4 linked regions of the Drosophila melanogaster genome follow. The protein of the gene in region 2 interacts with the protein of the main gene of each other region in a pairwise test. Each region holds a gene or a part of one and is shown on either strand. Other genes may lie near its edges. The genes, in order: Cda5, Hmx, Cerk and Nipsnap.

Region 1 (4,968 bases), on a different chromosome or scaffold from region 2:
GCTAACTATTGACCATATTTTGACAGGTTTCATATACATAACAGAAGAAATATTTGTTTCAGGAAACGGAGTTATTACGGTTCATTAATGAGTTTGCCAAATCGCCTGTTTTACCAAACGTGGCCAAAGTGTTCTTGGTATACCGATAGAAATTTACAAGGGTTATAATAAAATAAAAAAAAATCTCAAAAACTTTTTAAAAGTGTGCGCGTGGCAGCTTTTGGGGGTTTGTGGGCATTAGAAGGAACGCCGCCAAAGTGTTCTTAGTATAACGATAGCTATGGGCGGTCTGTGGGCGTAAGAGTGGGCGTGGAAAAAATGGATTTGGCAAATGAATATAAATTTACAAGACTGATGAAAATATACAAAAAAATATGCAACAATTTTTCAAAAATGTGGGCGTAGCAGTTTCGGGTTGCTTGAGGTCGTTACAGTGGGTGTGGCAACATGGGACAACAAACTTGCGCTGCGTCCATGTCACTAGAATATGTATGCTGAATCTCAACCTTCTAGCTTTAATAGTTCCTGAGAACTCGACGTTAATACGGACGGACAAGCCTGATCGACTCTGCCAATGGTCTTGATAAAGTATTTGTATATTTTATATGGTCCGAAACGTTTAGTTCAAGATACACTTCGTTACACACTTTTTAATATAGTAACGGAAATAATTAAATAATTTCCTAAACAAAGTCAAAAATATTCAATGCAACAAAACACCTCGCCCTCCATTCACAGAAAAAATCGTGTGAAACACAATCCAGCAAAAATAAATTAATAAATAAAGAATTAGATTAATTCGCATGCCTTGCTCAAACCATCAGCCATCGCCGTTCACCAGAACCCCTTTACTTCAGCTGTTGTTTTACAGCTTTTGCTTGGCTTTGGTTGGCTGCTTTGGCCTAGTTCTTGGTCGTTGCCATGTTTTCAACTCGGTTTTACTTTCAATTCTATGGTTCGAAATTGGCCACTTTACTTTAGACTTTAGAGTAAAGCTATATGTTGGGCATATAAATCGAATTTATCAAGGGCAATTCAGCTGGGTGGTATTAATTCTAAAAGTGATTGAGTGGTCTTCCTTCGATCCCATGCTTGACATGGATTCAAGTCCAAGCCCATGTTGAAGTAGTAAGCATTCTTTAATTTAAGCACCGTAATCCACTATCGAGCGATCCAGAAACCTGCTGCTAAACGAAAATGTAACGAAAAAGGTAACAACATTTCACAATCGCCTTGGTAAATAGTTTCCCAGCCTTCGTTGGCTAGAGGGTGGATATTGTTGTAGTTTCAGAAAACAATAAACAAAGCCCGCTCCCCGCTTGTAGATAGCTTGAAACTGATGGGGAGCTTTGGATGAAATTCTCAGTAAAATGTTGAAATTCACTAAGAATATGGGTCTGGACTACATTTTTCTGATAACTTGTATAACTTGTAAAACGTAGCAAAGCTGCAATGGCGCAAGCGTTAACTTTACTCTTACTTTCAAAAGCTTAAGAGATACAAACGACTCCGCGCGGGTGCAGCAACAACTTGAACAGTCTGTTAATGTAAAGTAACAGTCGGGGCCAAGCGTGGCGCAGACCAAGCTTGGCCCAAAAGCCAGACTTCGAAACTTGGTTGGCTGGCTGCGCTTGCCCAGAGTCTCAAGACACTCGTCCGCACAGTCGCGCTGTATAGTTGTTTCGATTAGGACGTGTGGTTCGCTTAAGCGCACGGTAAGCAGAGACGCTCGAGGGTCACCCGAACTTGTCAGGCGGTCTAAACTGTTTGCAATAAGCCACAATCAATTTTTGGGCTTTCGATTGCTAATTTATTTCGTAAACGCGTCGAAATAAAGTCCACCTCTGACTGGACATTGCAACCAGCCAAAAATTTAACATTTTGTAGAAAGCAGTTTTAACTGCATTTTGCAGTTTAGTCGAAGAGCTCAAGCGTGTGTGTCGGTGGTAAGCTAACTTTGCGTTAAAAAGAAAGTTTACGCTAAATATATATACAAGCTTCGACAAACAAAATAAAAACGTGCAGGTTTTGTTTTATTTTGTTTCGCATTTTCCTCTACGCGCTACAGACTAGTTCATACAGAGTTTTCCAATATGGAGGTGCCCGCGATACCGTACGGGAAATCTAAATCAAACACCGATCTTCGATTTGATCTCTTTGCATTTTTGTCTAGCAATCTTTTCCATGGTAACTACAAAACGAACAGCGGTCATTGCAGTCTCACGTGAAAGAAACTAAAAAACCTAACTAAAAATCGCTTGCCAAAAGCAATGGAGGAAAACTAAGTGTTGTAATCTGTAAACGTGTGTGTTAGCTATGCATCGTCGCGTTGGTTAAAGCCAAACGAAAGCTCGAATAATAGGGGCAGAAACTAAATCTGCTTACAACAATACAAACATGTCCTAACCAAGTGAAGGCACAGCCACAAAGCCGCAGTCGCGGCATAAGCCAGACACACCATTAAGAAAACTGTAACACAAGGCTCAAAAAATCTAAATTGAAAAATTGCGACACTGCCTTCTTAGTTATTTAGCAATTGTTTTCAACAAAACAGAGGTTTTCTCAACGGTAACTGCCTCCGTCATCGGTACGGTGGCTGCTGCTGCTCCCCACTTCCCGCGCTTCCAACCACTATTTTTATCCGAGCTTGCCTATGGTATTTTAAATTCTGTGAACTAACCCCAAAACGAAACTGAACCAACCACATCAAGAAAATTTACAGTTACAGTTACGACGACACGCCATACCTGCAATATGAAGTATTCAACAAGTCGAATAAACATTCTGTGCCTGCTGGGATTGTGCCTACTGCTTTTTAAAACAGGTGAGTAATGCCCACTTCAGTGAAGAACACTCTGCTAGAAATACAAATGGAGGCAAAAACTTAAAAGAGCAAAGGGCTTACACACTTTACCCACTAGTCCTAGAAGAGTTAGCACTTAACCAGATTTTAAGACAACCATGGATAAGTATTCAGTTCATGTATGAACTGAAATCTTTTTTTAAACGTAGATCCGAAAAAGTTTTATTTTTAAGTGAATTGTTTTTACAGTACTATGGATTCTTCTTTTCCTCAATCATATTCGAAACTTCGTGATAGAAATATTATGTTCCGCAAATAAAGCCAAACTTGTTTTGAACACTGTTCCGGCTGCCATGTACGAGCTCGCAATAGTCTAATGTCAAATTCAATCACCGTAGAAGAAGTCAAACCACCAGCTGTTAACCACTTGTGTTGAGCTCTATTGTGGATACTCCGGCTCCGGCTAAACGAGTTTCTTAATATGTCCAAAAATGTATATTTATTTTAATATATATATATATATATATATATTAAGACATTTTACTGCGAAATGTGTTAGGATATATAAAAAGTAAGAGTATTTACATTAGGGTATGTATGGAGGTAAATACATGGTCTGATCAACTGCTCTATTTACCAGCGAACAATAACATAATCAAGCATTTCGACCATAACAAGCCTTACCGTGTCCAACTATTGGTCACTTGGGCTGTCTACTCACCATACTGCTGGGTAATGGTAATGGAATTATGTAAGTTATCAGCCAGCAGCCAACCAAGCAGCTTATGACACAGATATTAATTGCATACAGCTCGCTGACTCGATTGAATAGGTTCACTAAGTGAGTGAGTGTATCGGTGTAACCGAGCAAATTGTGGCTATAATAACTGTTGATAATTTTTAAAACAGTTTGCTTAATTGTTCAGACATTTTTTATGAATGATATATATGCAAAATTTGAGAAAACAAATTGGGAACTACGAAAATTGCTTAGATAACGTGGTAAGGATTAACACTATTAAAATTATAATAACAGCATTAGACGGCTAAATTGTTTTGAGATAGATTTTTTGTATTACCTTTGTGGCCTTATAAAGTGCATATATGTATCTTATTCATAACATATTAGTAAAAACAGCGAACTTGAAATAGCCAAGCCCGGCTGTCCGATCGTCCTCTTTTAAACAATTTATAATCTATCTGCTATACCGATTCGGTCGTTGATACTTAGCAAGAAATATATATACCATATATGGGCACAATTGTGTCCTTCACAGCTTTGAAATTTCTGACTTAAGTGAATGTACCCTCCGCAAGGGTATGAAGACTTGCATGACTTGGTTTAGGCATAGTGGCAACACTTTCCATTTTGATGAACTTTCTCAGTGTTTTGAGTGGTGTTTTTTTAAGCCACAGAAATATATATTTGGGTAAAACCTTAGATATGCCGCCATGGAAATATTTTCATGCGTAATTGCTAGGAAATTTGTGTTAAAACATTTGATGTACTACTGGTTTAATGCGAATGTCGATGGCTGAAAGAAAAAGGTTTGAGGCGGACGAGGCCAATGGCGAAAGTTGAACATTTGCAAGAACATTTGTTTAAGCGCGTGTTTAATGAATAGTATAACAAAGGGGTTTTAATCATAATTCAGTTTCAATGCCAGTTAAACCATTAGTATGGTGGTCACGCCTCGACCTAATCATTTCGTCTCTTTTTTACCGCAGGCAGTGTCAATGCTTACCGTGCGAAAGTTTTGGCGCACGCGGAAGATCGTCATTAAATTACTTCGCTAGGTCTTTGACTGTAACCTGAACACTTTATACGAGCATGTACGACCATTGGCATGGCGCAACTTTGTTTTGCATGCACACAGTGCACTTTCGCTTTCAAGCAGTATTCCAGCGAGTCTGAGGCAAGCTTGAATAAATTTGCACACAGCAATGGTAATCCCTGGATTTCGCAAGGCTCCAGATAATTTGCGTTGAATTGGACGTCGAAATTGTTGTCGGCACAGTACGAGGAGTACCAATAGACTACCAAACGGCAACACCCAACTTTTCTTAGCTTCTGCGCCTGCCCTTACAAGCTTGTTGTTTACGGCGCTACTCACCTTGAAATGCTTACGCATTACAGTTGAAAATTATTTTTGCTACGAAATGGG
Region 2 (5,252 bases):
AAGCCTTAAGATCTTTACTTTTCAGTGTAACCTTTAGTTAACCTCTTTGATGGCATTTCCAATTTTCCCAAATGAGCGCAATCAAATCCGAGTTGAAATTTCCTCGAGAACAGAGCGAAACACAAATGAAATCATCTGAAGGTGCTGAGTGAACGCAATTTCCATTTGTGAATTGAGATTGAAATGGAAATGGGGCACCACCTAAGTGTCACTATTTCTGAAACCGTCGAGGTGGCCGGAATTCTTCCAATTCCCCACTCCATTGTTTCCCGGAAAAGCCCCGTCCCCCATTGGATTTATTTTTTATACACCCCCAATCCCACTCTAAAGTCTTACACGAAAACGAATCAAAAACAAGCAATGCACAGAGGGAAATTACGGAAAAATGTGTTACGGACGCAGGTGATGGCTCCGTCAACACACACACACACACACATGCACAGCTCCTCCAAGGGGAAATGGGAGGTGGTGGGTGGCAGATGGGGGTGCTGGGCGGGTGCAAGGGTGGCGCCTTGCCCTCAGCACGTGGAGACGCACTTTGGCAAAAGCAATCTTCTAAACAGGATAAATGTAATTGCGCATGAATTTCTACGCATATTTCGGCGTCGCTGTCTGAGCTGCAAATGTTTGTTACCCATTTGTTTGGTTGTGTTTTTTATGCTCGCTTTTCCCGTCGCTGAAAAGCGTTCTCCGACATTTCGAGGAGCTGTCACCCCATTGGCCCTCCACTGGCCACGCCCCCAAAGAGAGTGCTCTCTCCGGTCTCGCCGTCTCTCTCTTTCGACGGGTAATTGACTCGCATAATGTTTGTTTTGTTTTGAGCAAATCGTTTGCAACACTCTTTGAATGCCTCGTGGTTGTCTCATAAAAAGCGAAAGCATTTAAAAATTCAATTTGCCCTCTCTCTCATTCTCTCTCTCTCTAACTTTTTCTTGCTCTCACCCGCTCTTTTTCTGCAAAGTTTGCAGAGCTCCTTCGCAAAAATGGCCGCCTGTTCGCTTTTTGGGGGAGGTTTTCTCTTTGGGGAACGGAACGCTGTGGAATGAAACATGCTATAAGGTAGAAAGCTCAGAGATTCCAAATAAAAGAAGAAACGGGAATGCATTACAATGACATGAACGATACTAAATATAACTTAATACGTTGGGAAATTGCTTACATATTTTTAATTATTTAAATATAATTGTTGAAAATCTTTCACTTAATTTCTTAAGGATACCTTCTATCCTCGTATTTTTGATAATATCGTTTTTGATTAACGTTGTTCTTCACCATTTCGTTATCAAACATAATAAATACATTTGATATTTTATACATTTGATAACACCCACAAAACCTCTTTTACTTTTCTTTGCATAATTTATAAGTTGCTTGTTTATTTCTTTCGATATTTTAGCAATTCAATGATTTATCTATATCACCGAACCCCATTTGTTGAAACTTTCACCGCTCAATCTGCTAACCGCAAGGTTGCAATCGACTGGTGCATTTTCGGCACACACTTTTCTGGTCGAAAAAGTTTGCATCTGGCTGGCTGGGAAATTTCAATGGCGCCACAGAGCAACACTTGACCCCTGTTAGGTGGCAATTGATTGATTTTATATTGGCATTTCAATAGACACCAGCCGAGCGAAGCGATTCGAGTCGAGCCGAGTGCGCCCCCACTTTAGACGCGTTCCAAATGCCAAGTGTTTCCCATTCGGGGGGTAGGAAAACCAAAGCGCACTCCACCAGCACCGCAGAGAAAAAATAGTAAAGGAGGAAAATGCGAAAAGTGTCTGTCGATGCGGTTGCAGTGCAATTGTCGAAATAAACGAAAAGAAATTCCGAACTGCAAATGGAATGAAAAAGAGCGGCAGAAGGGGTGGGCCACCAGGCGGTGAAAGAGAGGGACAGCGAGAGCGATAGAGAGAGAGTGGGACACACCCTCCCAGGAGGGGTAGCAAATACGCAAGTGTGTGTGTGAGTGCGGAAAACCATTTAGCGCAAAGACCAAAAGAATTTGCAGGGCTGCCAGCCAACCACCTCAGTCTCAGTTTCAGTTCCACGCTCTCCGGACACGAGACCGGGGGTTAAAAATCCAGAGACTGAAACAATAAAAACACTAAACGATCGCTTTGCCACACACAAACACAAGCACACACACACACGCAGACACACACAAGCACTCGCATACATACAGAGACAGAAAGGACGAAGGACTCAGAACACAGAACTCAGGACTGCGTCTGTTAACAGCCGCATTTAAATTCAAATGCGAAACGTTGATCAAACGGTGCAGACGTGTTTCTCCCAACGGTAGCGCTCGGCGTTTTCCCTTAACGAGTTTTTCGTGGCACGACTGAAGTGTACAAGGTTTGGAAAATTCTTTATTTTCCTAACAAATATATATAAAACAAAAAAAAAAAAACACACACACAAGTGCAAGTTGAAGAACAAAAGTGCTGAATTAAACGTTTAAACTGCAAATCTAAGCAAAAATCTCAAGCTATGTCTTCCTCCGAGGCCGAAGTTGACATCAGTGTGGTGTCCAGTCCGGAGCCGAGTCCTTTGGGCGCCGCTGCCCGCGACAGTCCGCTGCTGGCCCGCTCGCCGGCCCGTTCCGCCGACGGCAGTTCGCCCCCGGCCACGCCTACCCATCGCTCCAATACGCCCAACACGGCCGCCGGCACGCCCACAACGTCCGCCTCGGGCGGCAATCACTTCCATCACAGTCCCAGCGGAGGCGCTGTGCCGCCGGCGGTGTTGCACCATCATCTGCAGCACCATCTGAGCAGCCTGGGCAGCCATCCGGTGGCGCTGCATCACGCGCTCCACACCTTTGGCCACTTGCATCCCGCCCACGGGGCCACACATCCCGCCCTGCTGCAGCACGCACTCACGCCCACCGGCCAGCAGCAGCAGCAACAGTTGCAGGTGCAGCAGCAACACCAGCAGTCGCATGTCGAGCGCCTTAGTCCGCCAATGAAGAGTCCGGAGCGGAATGGCGGCGATGAGGTGCAAGGACACAGTCTGAACAACAACAACAGTAAGGCCCTCAATCACAACAACACTTGCGCCTCGGCGGCCGCAGCGGCGGCAGCAGCAGCGGTGGCAGCGGCCAACCTGAGCAACAACAGCAACGACAGCAACGGGAGCAGCGGGGGCGGCGGCGGCAAGAGCACCACCGGCTCCAACGGATTCACCAGCTTCTCCATCTCCAGCATCCTGAGTCGCAGTGAGCCGGCCAAGAAGAACGGCGCCGCCGGACTTATCACTCCGATCCCGCAGTTGCCGCAACCAGGAGCCGGCGGTCCACAGGATGCGGCCATGTTGTCCAGGTAATTAAAAAACATTCCAGACTTGCTCTAGTCAAAAATAGCCCTCCCATTTCAAATGTGATTAATCTTGTAAATATGAAGTCGCCAAATTTAAAAATCTTAGTGTCAACATTTTACTTCAATTCATTTTAACAATTTAATCTGCAAAAATTTAGTCCATCCATCTGTCATATATAATTAGTTACTTCTGACGATATTCAGCTATTCCGCCTAATTTTGATCCGCAAGATATTTTAAAAAAATACAAACTCGAACTAAAATTTCATTCAAATTTTAACCCTATAATTACTGAAATTAAATGAGTATAATTTCATATGCCCAAGGATTTCCCATTGAATACCTTTTTTTGTAATAATAAAAATCACTCGTCTTAAGTACCATACCCATTTATTGCTCAGTGTAGGCGACCCAGATTAGGACGTTCGCCGGCGAACTGAAACCAAAAAGTCAAGCCTTGCCTCAATGAGCCCAAAACCCAAAGAGGCTGCCATTCCACTTGTTCGCCCTCGGGTTGGGCCAATTTTGTATAATCGTCCTAGGGGAAGACAAGGCAAGGTGACACAAATCTCTTCGCAGGAAGTGCACAAAGAGGAGAAATGGGATGGAGACGGACTGAGATGGTAGCCGGGAGATGGTCGATAAGACCGAAAATTGTTGGGCAAACGTTACACGAGACATTAAGTGGGTGAAGATGCAAATGGCTAAAGTACCATGCCATTGTGCTCCGAGAATCTAACGATTCCAAATTCCAGATGCCAGACAGATAAAGCAAATCCAATGGAACCGTTTTTAGTTGCACTGGACGCTAGCTGACCTCGAATATATGCAGAAAAGGTCTAAACCATTTTTGCCCTGCAATTTGGCCAGACTATCGAGTTACATAACATTTGTTAGATGAAATTTAATGCACCGCTTCGGGAATGAATGTAACCGACTGTCCGGCTGATTGACGGACTGACAATGCTCCAGTATCGTATGCAAAACGTGGTCCTTTCGAATGAATGAACCCTCAGTCCCTCCAAGCTGACCCACAAAAACTGGTACGTTTCTACAGCTGTTTGTTGTGCGAATGCAACTTATTGATACACAATGTGCACTGGAAATAAACAAGTCCGAGCTAATATTAACGGATTTTGTAAAATTTAATTGTGAAAAATAGCACTCGAAAAATGTACACCTACATAAATCTATATTTATTTAGGTACTATTCATTAAAGAGCTTATTTCTCTTGCAACATATTCCATTGATTCAATTTAAATTTGTCTCAGTGCAAATGCGTTTTTTATTCATTTCATTCATATCATAAACGCTGGCATATTAACCCCACTTAGCCGGCTTTTTGAGTCAGCGATCGAATTTCCAGGCAGCTCGATTAACGCATGTGTTGAATTAAAAAAAAAAAAAAACAACCAAGAGAATTTATAAGTTGCACTTTTATTTTACGAGAGAATGGGAGGGGGACTCCCCCAGACGTTTTAGTCCTCGAACTTTTTAATAACGATCATTTTCATTTCATTTACGCGTGCCCGCGTCGCTGATCGTCTCGATAAGGAAAGTCGGGCTGGTGGGCAGGTTCTGTGGCCGAGGGTCGCTACTGTCCCAGTCAACTGGACTGTGGCCCGTGCGTGGTTACCCCAATTAAGGACCTCGTCCTGGACAAAGTGTCGCCTCCTGCTGTTTGGCGCTAGCCCAGCTGACGTGTGGCTGCCTATGTGACTGGCTTATCAGTTGATCATCATCGGCCAGAATGATTAATGCCGGGGGGATATGAATACGAGTATGAGCACAGCAACATTGCTGAGTGATCGTTTAATAGTTTGAGCCGACTTTCTCCCGGCGGAGCTCGGCTTATTTTGACAGTTGCGCTTACGTTTTTAATTAGTCGCTGGGCTTTCTCTGCAGCCTGTACTTAATTACGATTCAGTTGGGCG
Region 3 (4,984 bases), about 12 Mb from region 2:
ATGCTATACAATATACATGCTATGTGCTATACAAGGTTCGATAAGATTGATGACATCAAGTCTCGGTTAACTTGCAACGTGGGAGTTAGTGGGCCGGATTTTACGTACATATGTATATCAGAGCTCTGAAGGCCTAATCAATACTTTCGTTTATCTATAGACCGAGTTGTTTATAATTTAAATGCCTGTACCATAAACAGAACTAATAGAACTGTGTCCGATTTCTTTTAACTTTGAGCTCGTTGACTCACGCCAACATCTAAGAAGCACATGACAGCAGTAATTATTTAACAAAGCGAAAAAGTCTAGTACATGTAGGTCGATGTGAAGAAGGAAAAGACAGACACATTGCGGAAATGTAAACTAGCGGGTAAATTGATAACCACACAAAAAGTTCGAATGACATGGAGGGGAAATGCTCTAGATATATGTACAGCTGTGTTAAGAAAAATAGCAGTGCTTTGGACTTGAGTGTTTAAGATAAAAAATTCTTATGATTTACAGTTTTAATGGGAAATTTTTTTTTATAATATCATTAGGTATTTAATTTCAAACAATTTAACAAATGTTTCGCTTTTATTTCTTTAATAGTTTCGAAAATATAGATTAAAACAACATAATAGGCAGAAATTCTGGTTTTCAATGAAATAGCAGTGCTATGAAAAAATAGTAACAAAATTCAACTTGACTTAGAACGAACTTAGTCTTTCTTTTTAATATGTTAATTCGGGCCTAATACTTGGCTGGATAGCCTTTGTTAGCCAGCACAGCCTTACACCCACGCGGCATGGAGTCCACCAGGTCCTGGCAACGTTTGGGAGGAATTTTTGCCCATGCATCCTGCACAACTTGCCAAATCTGAGCCTTAGACGTCGGGGACTTCTTCCACACATATTGTTTAATGTCCCCCTACAGGTTTTCAATCGGGCTTAAATCGGAAGATGGTGCTTACCACGGCATTGCATCTATTCCATTTTGGGTGAACCTATTCTTAGCCGATTTGCATCTGCGTTTCGGATCATTATCCTGTTGGAATGTCCATTTTAAGGGCATATTATATTCAGAATATGACAATAAGACATCACTAAGTATATTTACATATGCGTTTTGGTCTATAATACCATAAATCATATGTTATGGACTCATAACCATTGTAAAAAAACAAGCCCATACCAGGATTTTAGGTCCACCGTGATTGAAAGTCTTCAGTGGGTGTTTTGGGTGGTACTCCGTGTTTGGAGGTCGTTAGATATACTGTAGTGAACCACTTCCACCAAATAGCACTATTTTTGACCGATCAGTCTAAAGGATATTACGCCATTTGCAGACTGGCCAGTTTCGGTAGGTTTTAGCGAAGGTAAACCTTGCCTGAATAAGCCTTGGGCTAAGTGGGGGAACCTTTCGTGGACTCCTCGCACTGAAATTTTAACGTCACTGATTCCCAAGTTCAGCTCAGACTTTATGTCCCTAGAGGATGCAAAAGGATAGGCTTTGCTCTAACGAACTGTGCGTCGATCCTCTATCTCTGTGGTTTTACGTTTGGTACCACGGTTTTCGGGCTTCCATTCATATTTAATGGTATTGGATACCATTTTGGCAGCACATTCAAGAGTTTTTTGAATGTCCTTAATGCTTTTCCTTCCTTTCTAAGCTTAAGAATTAACATTCTTTTCTCCTGGGAGCAGTGCTGTCCTCCACCCACTAAAATATAATTTAAAATTTTTTTTTTAATTTTTTGCCCTTTTAAATATACGAATTAACTTAACCAAACTCACTTTTTAGAAAATAATGATCATTTCGGAACTTTACGTTGGTCAAAACCAGGCACTGCTATTCTTATGAACAGCCTAAAAATTGCGATTTTGCTCAAGAATGTAAATAAAAAAAGGATAACAAGAAAAACTAACCGGCTTTTCTTTTTTTTTCCTATCTACACATTCAATTTAACAAAAATAAGTGGAATAAAAAGTCGATTCCGAAAAAGGACATGGAAAAATACCTTTGTATTACTTAGTTTCCTTCGCACTGCTATTTTCTGAACACAGCTGTAGATATGTACGAAATACAAACAAATACGTCAATCTTAAACTCCAGAACTACTGACATTATTAGAATCGTCAACCCCTCCACCATTTATCTCGTTTCACCCTTTTGAGCGTTATTCAATCTTGACCCGCTTTATAGCTGCCAGACATCAGCCCATGTCTGACCTTTTCGACGGTGCACGCACCTCACAGCCAAAATAGCAAAAGCAAAGCTACAAAATATTATAAATAACTTGGGGCAAGTTCCCTTTGACACGTGAGGGGTCATTATTCAGTGCTATAGCGCAGATGGTCTGCTAAGATCAAAGGAAATAGGTACACGAATAGGTTTTCTGCCAATTCCCAGAATACATTGTTATGTTAAAATAAACTATTAGTATATGAGTAAAAATGAAAACAAAGTAGATACTTATTTTTTAGTTGCTATTTACTTGCAATCTATGCTTGGCAGGTCATTAAATTATTATTAATTAAGGTCCCTGAAATCCAATTTAACCCATAGAAGTAGACATTTCTTTCCCAAGGAATAAGTATCGCAGCATCGACATCGATACTTTGCACCACCAAAACAATAACAGTGCACATATACACCGAAGGGTCCCGGTTCGCTTGCTCTAGCCGCAGTGCGTCAGAAGGGTATAGCACCCTGGGAGGGGGGGGGGGGTGGGGTGGTGCAGACAGGGACAGCTGTCATTTCCATACTCCGGGTGCCGTTATCGCAACGCAATACAGCTGTGTAGCACCAACAACTCAGCTGTTGACAAGAACATGTGTGTATACAGGCGTAAGGGTGTGTGCGTGCGTGTGGGGGTATGTGCGTCTGGCTTGAGTTCTCTGCGTTTAATTCCAACTTGGGTGCTCGTGTACCTACTTATTCTCGATCCTAGTCCGTTCTTCCAATTGGAGTGCCAGTGTGAACTGGTTGGGGAACTCACCTGGTGGCCAGGTAGGAACGTTTATCCATACAAACACGGCTGCACTTTCGAAGTCGTTGCGCTGTTTTTCCGTCTGTTTATGGGGAAATCAAGAAAACTCGATACGGATGTGCATTGCAGTTTCGCACACTTGCACTTTTTCGCTTGCACACAAACAAATGCACACACACAATTGGAAAATAGCCGACGTGCAATTGGTGCTAATGGCGTTTCGGCATCTCCCGGTTTCCCGTTTTAGCCACACTTTCCACCCCCTACTCGCTGGAGCACAAAGAATTTACGAGAACACCAGAAATGCACTTCCGTGGCCGTTACAAAAAACACAGGCGGACAAATCGAAGCGAAGTGTACGTCCGCTCGCCAGTGTGACCGTACATATAACTGTGGAAAATACGAGGCAGACCACCTGACTTGATTGAAATACCACATAGTTTGGTCTGGGGTATTCTCAAGTCTGGCGAGAACTAGGGCTACCTTAAAATTAACGGCATCTTCACCCAAAAATAACTGTGCCCGATATTTTTTTTTAAGTTTTCTCACCATTAAATACTACACTACTAATACACTACTCCCCAGGATCAAATCACTCATCCCAGCATCCACATCATCCCAAAACTCTACTGCAGCCGCCAGATAACCAACAACATTAGCTGCGCAGCTTGCAGCAATTGCTCAACGGTCACCAATGACACCGTGTTGGGCGGGAGTCTCCAGCGGGTTACGGTTGGTCCTTGTGTCGATGTGGGGACTCCGGACTTCTTCCAGGTAAAGTAGTTCAGCTATGAGTTCAGTCGGGTTCAAAATTGGTTGGTGGCCAATATAGCCATTTTGTCAATTTGCAGAAGACACAACAACTGCTCAAGGTCATACTCCTAGACTCACGGATAAGATATTCATCCAGGAACCAAAAAAGGAAAAAATAAATTTAAAATGTTAAGAATTATTTTATAATCAATTTTTTTCACTTTTGTTTAAATCCGATTGGCGAAGTGATTGTTACGCGTACATACATTATACATAAATTATCAAGGAATTCTCCTGCATTTAATTTCGAAATTCCTCGGGATTTCCGCTGGAATCTATTTCAATAGGTTGCACTTTAGTAGAATATTACTTTCGTACATTTAATTTTAAAATAGTTTTAAGAGACATCTGATACTAGGTATCTGATAGCCTGGTCATCCTAATTTCGTGTTCGCTTTTGTTATTTTCGTTACTCGAAGAGTGTAAGGTAAATTGAATTATAAGAAAAGTAGGCAAAACTTAGGATAAGCAATAGTTCGGGCATTCGACCAAAGCGTTCTCATGATTTCAGCTTTCTCTTTTTATTATTTGGTAATAGGACATACGACTATACTTTTTTTTTTTTTTTTTTTTGTTAATTCCAAATAAAACTGCAGAAATTTAAACATTAATTGGGCTTAACTAAACCAGTGGAGTCCATAAGTTTATAAGTAATCTAATGGAGTGCTATTGATAATTATTTTCAAACTGTTAATTTATAGATATATTTGGTCATACAAACTTTTTAAAGCGTAAATGAATGCAAAGAACGCAGGGTATACAAAACCCGATTAGAGATCTCGATCCGGAATTGTCAGTTTTGATTTACCAGCTTGTAGGACAGCCTGTAGGGACAATTAATTACACCTAAGCCCTAACTTTCGGAAAATGTGTGAGTATCAAATGGACTGTAGACCGCCACCCGCAGCGCGCTAATCCTTCCGCCAGCAGCGTCTCCGTGTGGCAAGTGCAACAACTGTCCCTGCGGCACCAGCGGCGGAGCCCCACCCCCCCAGCAGCCGCCCCACAGGCCACCCCCCTCGTACGCCCACCAGCCGCAGCAGCAGCCGGACAGCTGTCCCTATCCGGGTCCGCGGGGCCAGGGAGCAGGCGGGTGCCAGGTCAACTCGACGCAGCCGCCGGGCGATCCCGCCGCATGCAGCCTCTACCAGAGCCGGGGAGCCCCCACCGTGGAGTGCACGTGCACTCAGAACCGTAGCC
Region 4 (5,777 bases), on a different chromosome or scaffold from region 2:
GAAAAGAAAAAAAAAACAACGTGAAAATTATAATTAAAGGCTGAGAAGTCATACATACATACATTCACTGCATATGTACGTATTATGTTTTAAACTTCAACTCGAATAGATTTTGGTACCGATTGATATATGTATGTACATATATGGCTTTCGTTGAACAGAAAAATCCGAAAGAGAAAGTAATTAAATTAATGCATATCAGTGATTACAATAACGATGTACATACATGCAAAACAATAACAAAATAATGTATATGTGTGACCTCATTAGCACACAATAATCGTGTATGTATATCTATTCTTAGTACCGAACTATTCAATCAATTTAAAACCCCTTACGTGTGTGAAAATAAACATAGAGGTTAATAATATAAAATGTATGTACTATGTATAGTAACAAATATAACTTCCATATGAGTATTTTTCGTATTACCTTTAGTAGAATAAAGATTATCGTATAATTAAAACGCATTGTTTATAAAAAAAAAACAGTGATCTGCTTCGATCACCGACTTAAACAATTGGATATTGTTAACAAAAAGCAAAAAAAAAAAAAATGCAAAAAAAGAGTTTGATGTTTTCTCCGCACTGTTGCATACTTATTCAGTATTCTGAGAACAGATGTCCTTTTACAAGATTAGTACTCACGGCAAAATAAAAGCTCAAAAACGGTACCTACGGGTACGTACCAAGGTAAATTAGTTGAGTACTTTTTACCTTACCTATGTAAATAAATAAATTAATACATTTTACCCTTCCTAGGCACGGATTTTGATTTTCACCGCGTACTCGTCGTGATTTTAAATTATTGAAATCGTTTCTAGATTTGGATTACTTTTTTATCCCCGTTTACGTATACGTAATATATTTAGATTTCAGGAATCGTAAATTAACAGGTATGAATTGAAATAAAAATAACTTTTACTTACCACCGCTTTATGATTATGTACACTTTTTAGCTTCTTGCTCAAATAAATTATTTAATTATATTTCCTTCCTTTGGCCGATATATTGAGAAATGCTATTTTTAATTTCACTTTTAACTCAGGTATGTATTAATGTACGCCCGAGTGTATAAAAACACAAAATGTAACCGTTTTAATCACCGGCGAAGGTAGAAAACGAAATGGAATTTAAAGCAAACGGGCGGAGAAGTAAAGCAGAACAAAAATGTTCGTTTTCGCCATTTTCTTTTTTTGGTCCACTTTTCAGGTGTATTTCATTTTGAAATTTATAGCAATACATTTTATATATATATTCGCAAAAAGTATTAAGCATACAAAAGTGGTTGTCGGGTTTTAATAAATAAGCAAGCATTATAAATATGAACTCTATATAACCGCGCTCAAATTTAAAACACAAATCAAACCGATATGCTCACTTACGCACACACACATATGTATGTACTTCTCCGCGGAAACGTGTGTGCGTGAACTATATAACCGCGCTCAAATTTAAAAAGCAGATCAAGCCGAGCTGCTTACTTACACACACACACATAAGTATGTACATATGTACTTCTCGGCACAAACGCGTGTGCGTGTAAATCACATAATTAAATCGTTTAAAGAAAAGTAATGAGTTAAAATGCGTTTAGCAGTGTGCGATCACTCATTGATTATCATTTTAACAAACTTTCAGTACTTTTTAATACCGAAAAACATTAAAACTGATTTAATTCATTTTGGCACGCCGAACCGCCATTTTTTCTATTACCGATGCTCGCGAAGGAAGAAAACGAACTGAACGAGGATAGGAGCTTTCAGATCGGACTTGAGCATGAGAGCGGCCAAGAAGAAGAGTGGTCCTAGATTAACAAAATGACCCATTTTCGCTTTAAAAACTATGAATTTCAAAGTCAGCTTTTAAACAAATTTGAAATGTAACGTAATTAATTCAGAGTGACCGCAAAAAACTAAAACACCTTATCGCTATAGCATGCAATCGAAAAGACGACTACTTTGTTAACTCTTAGGTCCATATCGATAGCCAAGCGCATGGACGCGATATATCGATACAATCGGTCAGTGGTTAAGACAGCTCTACTGCATATTATTTTGTTTTCTTTTAACGTTAACATTTCATTTAAATATTATTTTAGTTTGTAACACTCCCGCAAATAACTATAAAGTGAGTGCTAGTGTGGAAAGAGAAACATTTATTATTTTTCCAAAATAATTGCTGAATTTAAAGCGGGTGGGGAAATCGGACAGAGTTGAAACGAGAGAACGCTCTACATTCTCTATTATCAATGCTACCATAGACCATGTACCGGCGCACTTGTTAAAATGACTCTGACTTCACCTTGACTAAAGTACACATAATGTACACACATTGCAGTGGTAGAGATGGCGAATCGGGATGATAACAGTTACTGATTTTATTTTCCAGTTTTCACCCCATATCGCTCTATATACATATATACTCGCCAGATCCTACATAAATCGAAAATGCTTAAGCTACGTAATCTATTGGCCGTCGGCAAAAGCAACAACAACGCTGTCCGGTAAGAAAAACAACATGAATATACTATAAAAAATGAACACAAAAATTGCCCACAGCTGAGTCCATTTACATATTTGATCAGTGTTGCCGAGTAGGCACAGGTACCTGTACCTGGATATCAGCTTGTGGCACTTATTAATTGCCCAGATTCGTGGAATCCAAATGAAATATAGGCAATGAATATATACTCGTATATTCAAATTTTTTAGATTGAAATAACAAAATTAATTCTTAATTCTTACTTATTTATATATAAATAACAGTATTTATAAGGATCTTAAAATAATGATATTTAATGGTATTCATATTCAATTTTCCTCCAGCCTAGGGGTTCATTTTTATTAACATTATGTTTTTCAACTACTAGTCATTTTAAGTCTTTTAGATTAAATATATTATTCACGAATTCCCTAAACTCATGTTATTAAATTTACGCAGAGTAGTTGTTGCTTACTCATTTTCCAAGCCGTCATACTTAGCATTAAGAGTACCTACCAGGTACCGTCCTTGTAGGTACACAAATCGCGTACCCTTTCCAGCACTAGCATTCACACTCCTACACGTTAATATGTATGTTTGGTTCCAATTTCGTACGTATACATCCATACATAAATGAAAATGCCGTTGCGACGTCAGCAAAGCAAAAACGTATACAAAAACAAAATAAACACGACGGTGCGAATTTTAGTTACCCTTCATGTATGAAATGCCGTACTATATATGCATTTTGTATTTTTAAGTTATGAATACATTTGCCCCTGGAAAATTCGAAAAAGTTAATAATACGCAGGGGTAGCTTTTCTTAATTTGTAAGTTCAGTGTAAAGGAAATAGCGTTCTCCTTATTTATCTATTTTTTGCCCACGGTCCAATTCAATTGGCCTACTTATAGCTAATATTGATAAGTGGCCTTCCAAAAATTGAATATTATATCTTCGATCTGAAAGATAGACTTATTAAAAACGTTATCTAGAGAGTTTGGACTTAGAACATATCATTTAAAAATGTATTTTTAGGTATTACCAATATATCTTACCTTATACAGAATACAATTAAGATATTGTAAGTTTATTTTGTAATTGTTTATTATGCCAACCTTTTTAAATTACCCATTATTGATACTTTTAGCTCTCTGTCCACCACTCCGAGCCGCAACGATTCAGAATCATGGTTCTCAAAACTGCTCGTTCGGAAAATAGAACCAACCAAGGAGTCGCACAGTCGAATGCTCAGCGATAAGGAAATCATATATGCCCTTCATACCCACAACGTCAGGCCCGATTCCATGGGCAGCTACTTAAATAACTAGTAAGTGACTGAAATTTAACGTCCTTAAAAGGTGCCTAAAAGAACTAAATAGGTGCAGAGTACTCAAAGCTAAAGAATAAACATTGAAAGCGTTGTCCATTTTCGATAGCATACTTTCAAACACATTTCCGGGTGGTTTTAAATCCCGAAAGTAGCATAGATTGTTAAAAGTACCCTTACCTTTTACAGCAAAACTACTGTCGCTTTGATCAACGAGAAGAAGGCAAACCTTTCCTGCGAATTGGTGGCATCATGGACGGTTCAAGTGGGCGACATGGATCAGTGCCTGCACCTGTGGAAGTACACAGGAGGCTTCGAGAAGATAGATCAGGCCAAAGAAGACCTTTGGAACGATCCCGAGTATCTTAGCTTGATGCAGGAGCGTTCCAAGTTCTTGCGCTCCCGTCATCTGCAATATCTCTTGGCATTCAGCTACTGGCCGCAAATTGCCAGTCGTACCGGCAAGAACATTTACGAAATGCGGTATGTTGCAGAGTATTTTCAATTCAAAAATGCATAGCTAAATTAACCCAATTGTCTCAGCTCATACCGACTGACACCTGGCACCATGATTGAGTGGGGAAACAACTGGGCCCGCGCCATCAACTATCGCAAGCACAACAACGAAGCATTCGCCGGATTCTTCTCGCAGATCGGAAGACTGTACAATGTTCATCACATTTGGTGTAAGTGATAGATAGTATAATTAAAAGATTTGAGTAATTTGAGTTTCATTGCCAAATACGTTTAGAATGGTTTAAAGGATATTTTAAGCCACTAGCAATTTTTGAAGCCATATTTTTATATAAGCTGTAAAGCAAACATTAATATTTGCTCTTCTTTTCAAAATAGGTTACAAATCTCTGCAAGACCGTAAGGAGACCCGGGAAGCAGCCTGGCGATCCCCCGGATGGGATGAGTGTGTGGCCTACACGGTGCCATTAATCCGCGAGATGCACTGCCGTGTCCTGGCGCCCACTGAGTTCTCGCCCTCACAATAATTAGCACTGGGTGTTGCACTTTCTAGCGTTCTGAGAAATTGAAGTTCATCGACGATTGGACAAATTAGCTGTGAAAACACCGAGAACGCATCTTCGCCTATTTTCCTGTTGAATAGTTATTGTAAATAATGCCAGCTACATATGCAATCATTTAATTTTTTTTTTAAGTATAATTAAGGTCAAAGTGGAAATTTCTATCCAACATTTTTACGAACCTCTATGTGTGTATCGCCTACGACCTTTGAATTTAACAAAACCAATTTTGTTTTTATAAAATAAAGCAATTATGAAACTGTTATAAGTTAGTTTTTAAAACAGATCCCAAAATATAGTAAATGGTATTGGATATTAATTGAAACATCTCTAATAAAATGCAGAACCACCCAATTCCGTAATTACAAACAGCAAAATAATAGGTGATGAAAAAGTAGTATACCGCATAAAGTTTTAATCAGATCGTTGTTTTCTTGAAAAAACTTGTTATCCTGTGAATTAGTGGTATAACATAATAATAACGTATGATACATTTGATTTGCCTGCTTAGTTGCTCAAACTTAATTAATGCACATATTCTATGAACTTTTAAAAGTCACAGAAAATTAAACGAAATATTTTGCTATCCCCGCCAGTTTCTTAACTCTTTAAGAGGCATCATATAACATGTGTGCGATATTTCAACATCATCACTAAATTAACTAGAAAAAAAGTTCGAGAAACTTTTTTTTTTAAACCATTGGGTTTTTGGCTCTTAGGAATCTGGAATTGTTATTATGTCATCTTTTTGCCTAATTAATTCAATTCTAAACAAATTTTTAAGAATATTTGTCCAAACAAATTTAAAGTCTTATACACCGTAGGCACTATAACAAAAATATGTAATGAAATCACCTTCTGATTCTCAACTTTAAAACTAAAACCGTTGTTTAGAACCAGCCAATCTCGTTTATACCTAATATTATTGGTTA

The links.
Region 1: the proteins of Hmx (region 2) and Cda5 interact in a two-hybrid assay, tested with the Drosophila melanogaster proteins (one large-scale study listed by BioGRID).
Region 3: the proteins of Hmx (region 2) and Cerk interact in a two-hybrid assay, tested with the Drosophila melanogaster proteins (one large-scale study listed by BioGRID).
Region 4: the proteins of Hmx (region 2) and Nipsnap interact in a two-hybrid assay, tested with the Drosophila melanogaster proteins (one large-scale study listed by BioGRID).

The regions. Positions count from the first base shown.
Region 1 is NT_033779.5:55,937-60,904, reverse strand, and holds the start of Cda5 (chitin deacetylase-like 5), read left to right. Parts: upstream 1-1,636; 5' UTR 1,637-1,715; exon of another isoform or gene 1,716-1,946; intron 1,947-2,173; exon of another isoform or gene 2,174-2,656; intron 2,657-2,711; exon of another isoform or gene 2,712-2,722; 5' UTR 2,723-2,754; coding exon 2,755-2,824; intron 2,825-4,968.
Region 2 is NT_033777.3:17,556,874-17,562,125, forward strand, and holds the start of Hmx (H6-like-homeobox), read left to right. Parts: upstream 1-2,056; 5' UTR 2,057-2,490; coding exon 2,491-3,320; intron 3,321-5,252. UniProt on the Drosophila melanogaster protein: Transcription factor involved in specification of neuronal cell types.
Region 3 is NT_033777.3:5,364,941-5,369,924, forward strand, and holds the start of Cerk (ceramide kinase), read right to left. Parts: upstream 3,367-4,984; 5' UTR 2,981-3,366; intron 1-2,980. Other genes in the region: CG31542 (uncharacterized protein), read left to right, coding at 4,652-4,655, 4,715-4,984.
Region 4 is NC_004354.4:16,069,755-16,075,531, reverse strand, and holds Nipsnap (nipsnap), read left to right. Parts: upstream 1-1,963; 5' UTR 1,964-2,022; exon of another isoform or gene 2,023-2,100; 5' UTR 2,101-2,129; intron 2,130-2,249; exon of another isoform or gene 2,250-2,431; 5' UTR 2,432-2,449; coding exon 2,450-2,505; intron 2,506-3,631; coding exon 3,632-3,811; intron 3,812-4,000; coding exon 4,001-4,294; intron 4,295-4,354; coding exon 4,355-4,497; intron 4,498-4,663; coding exon 4,664-4,812; 3' UTR 4,813-5,167; downstream 5,168-5,777.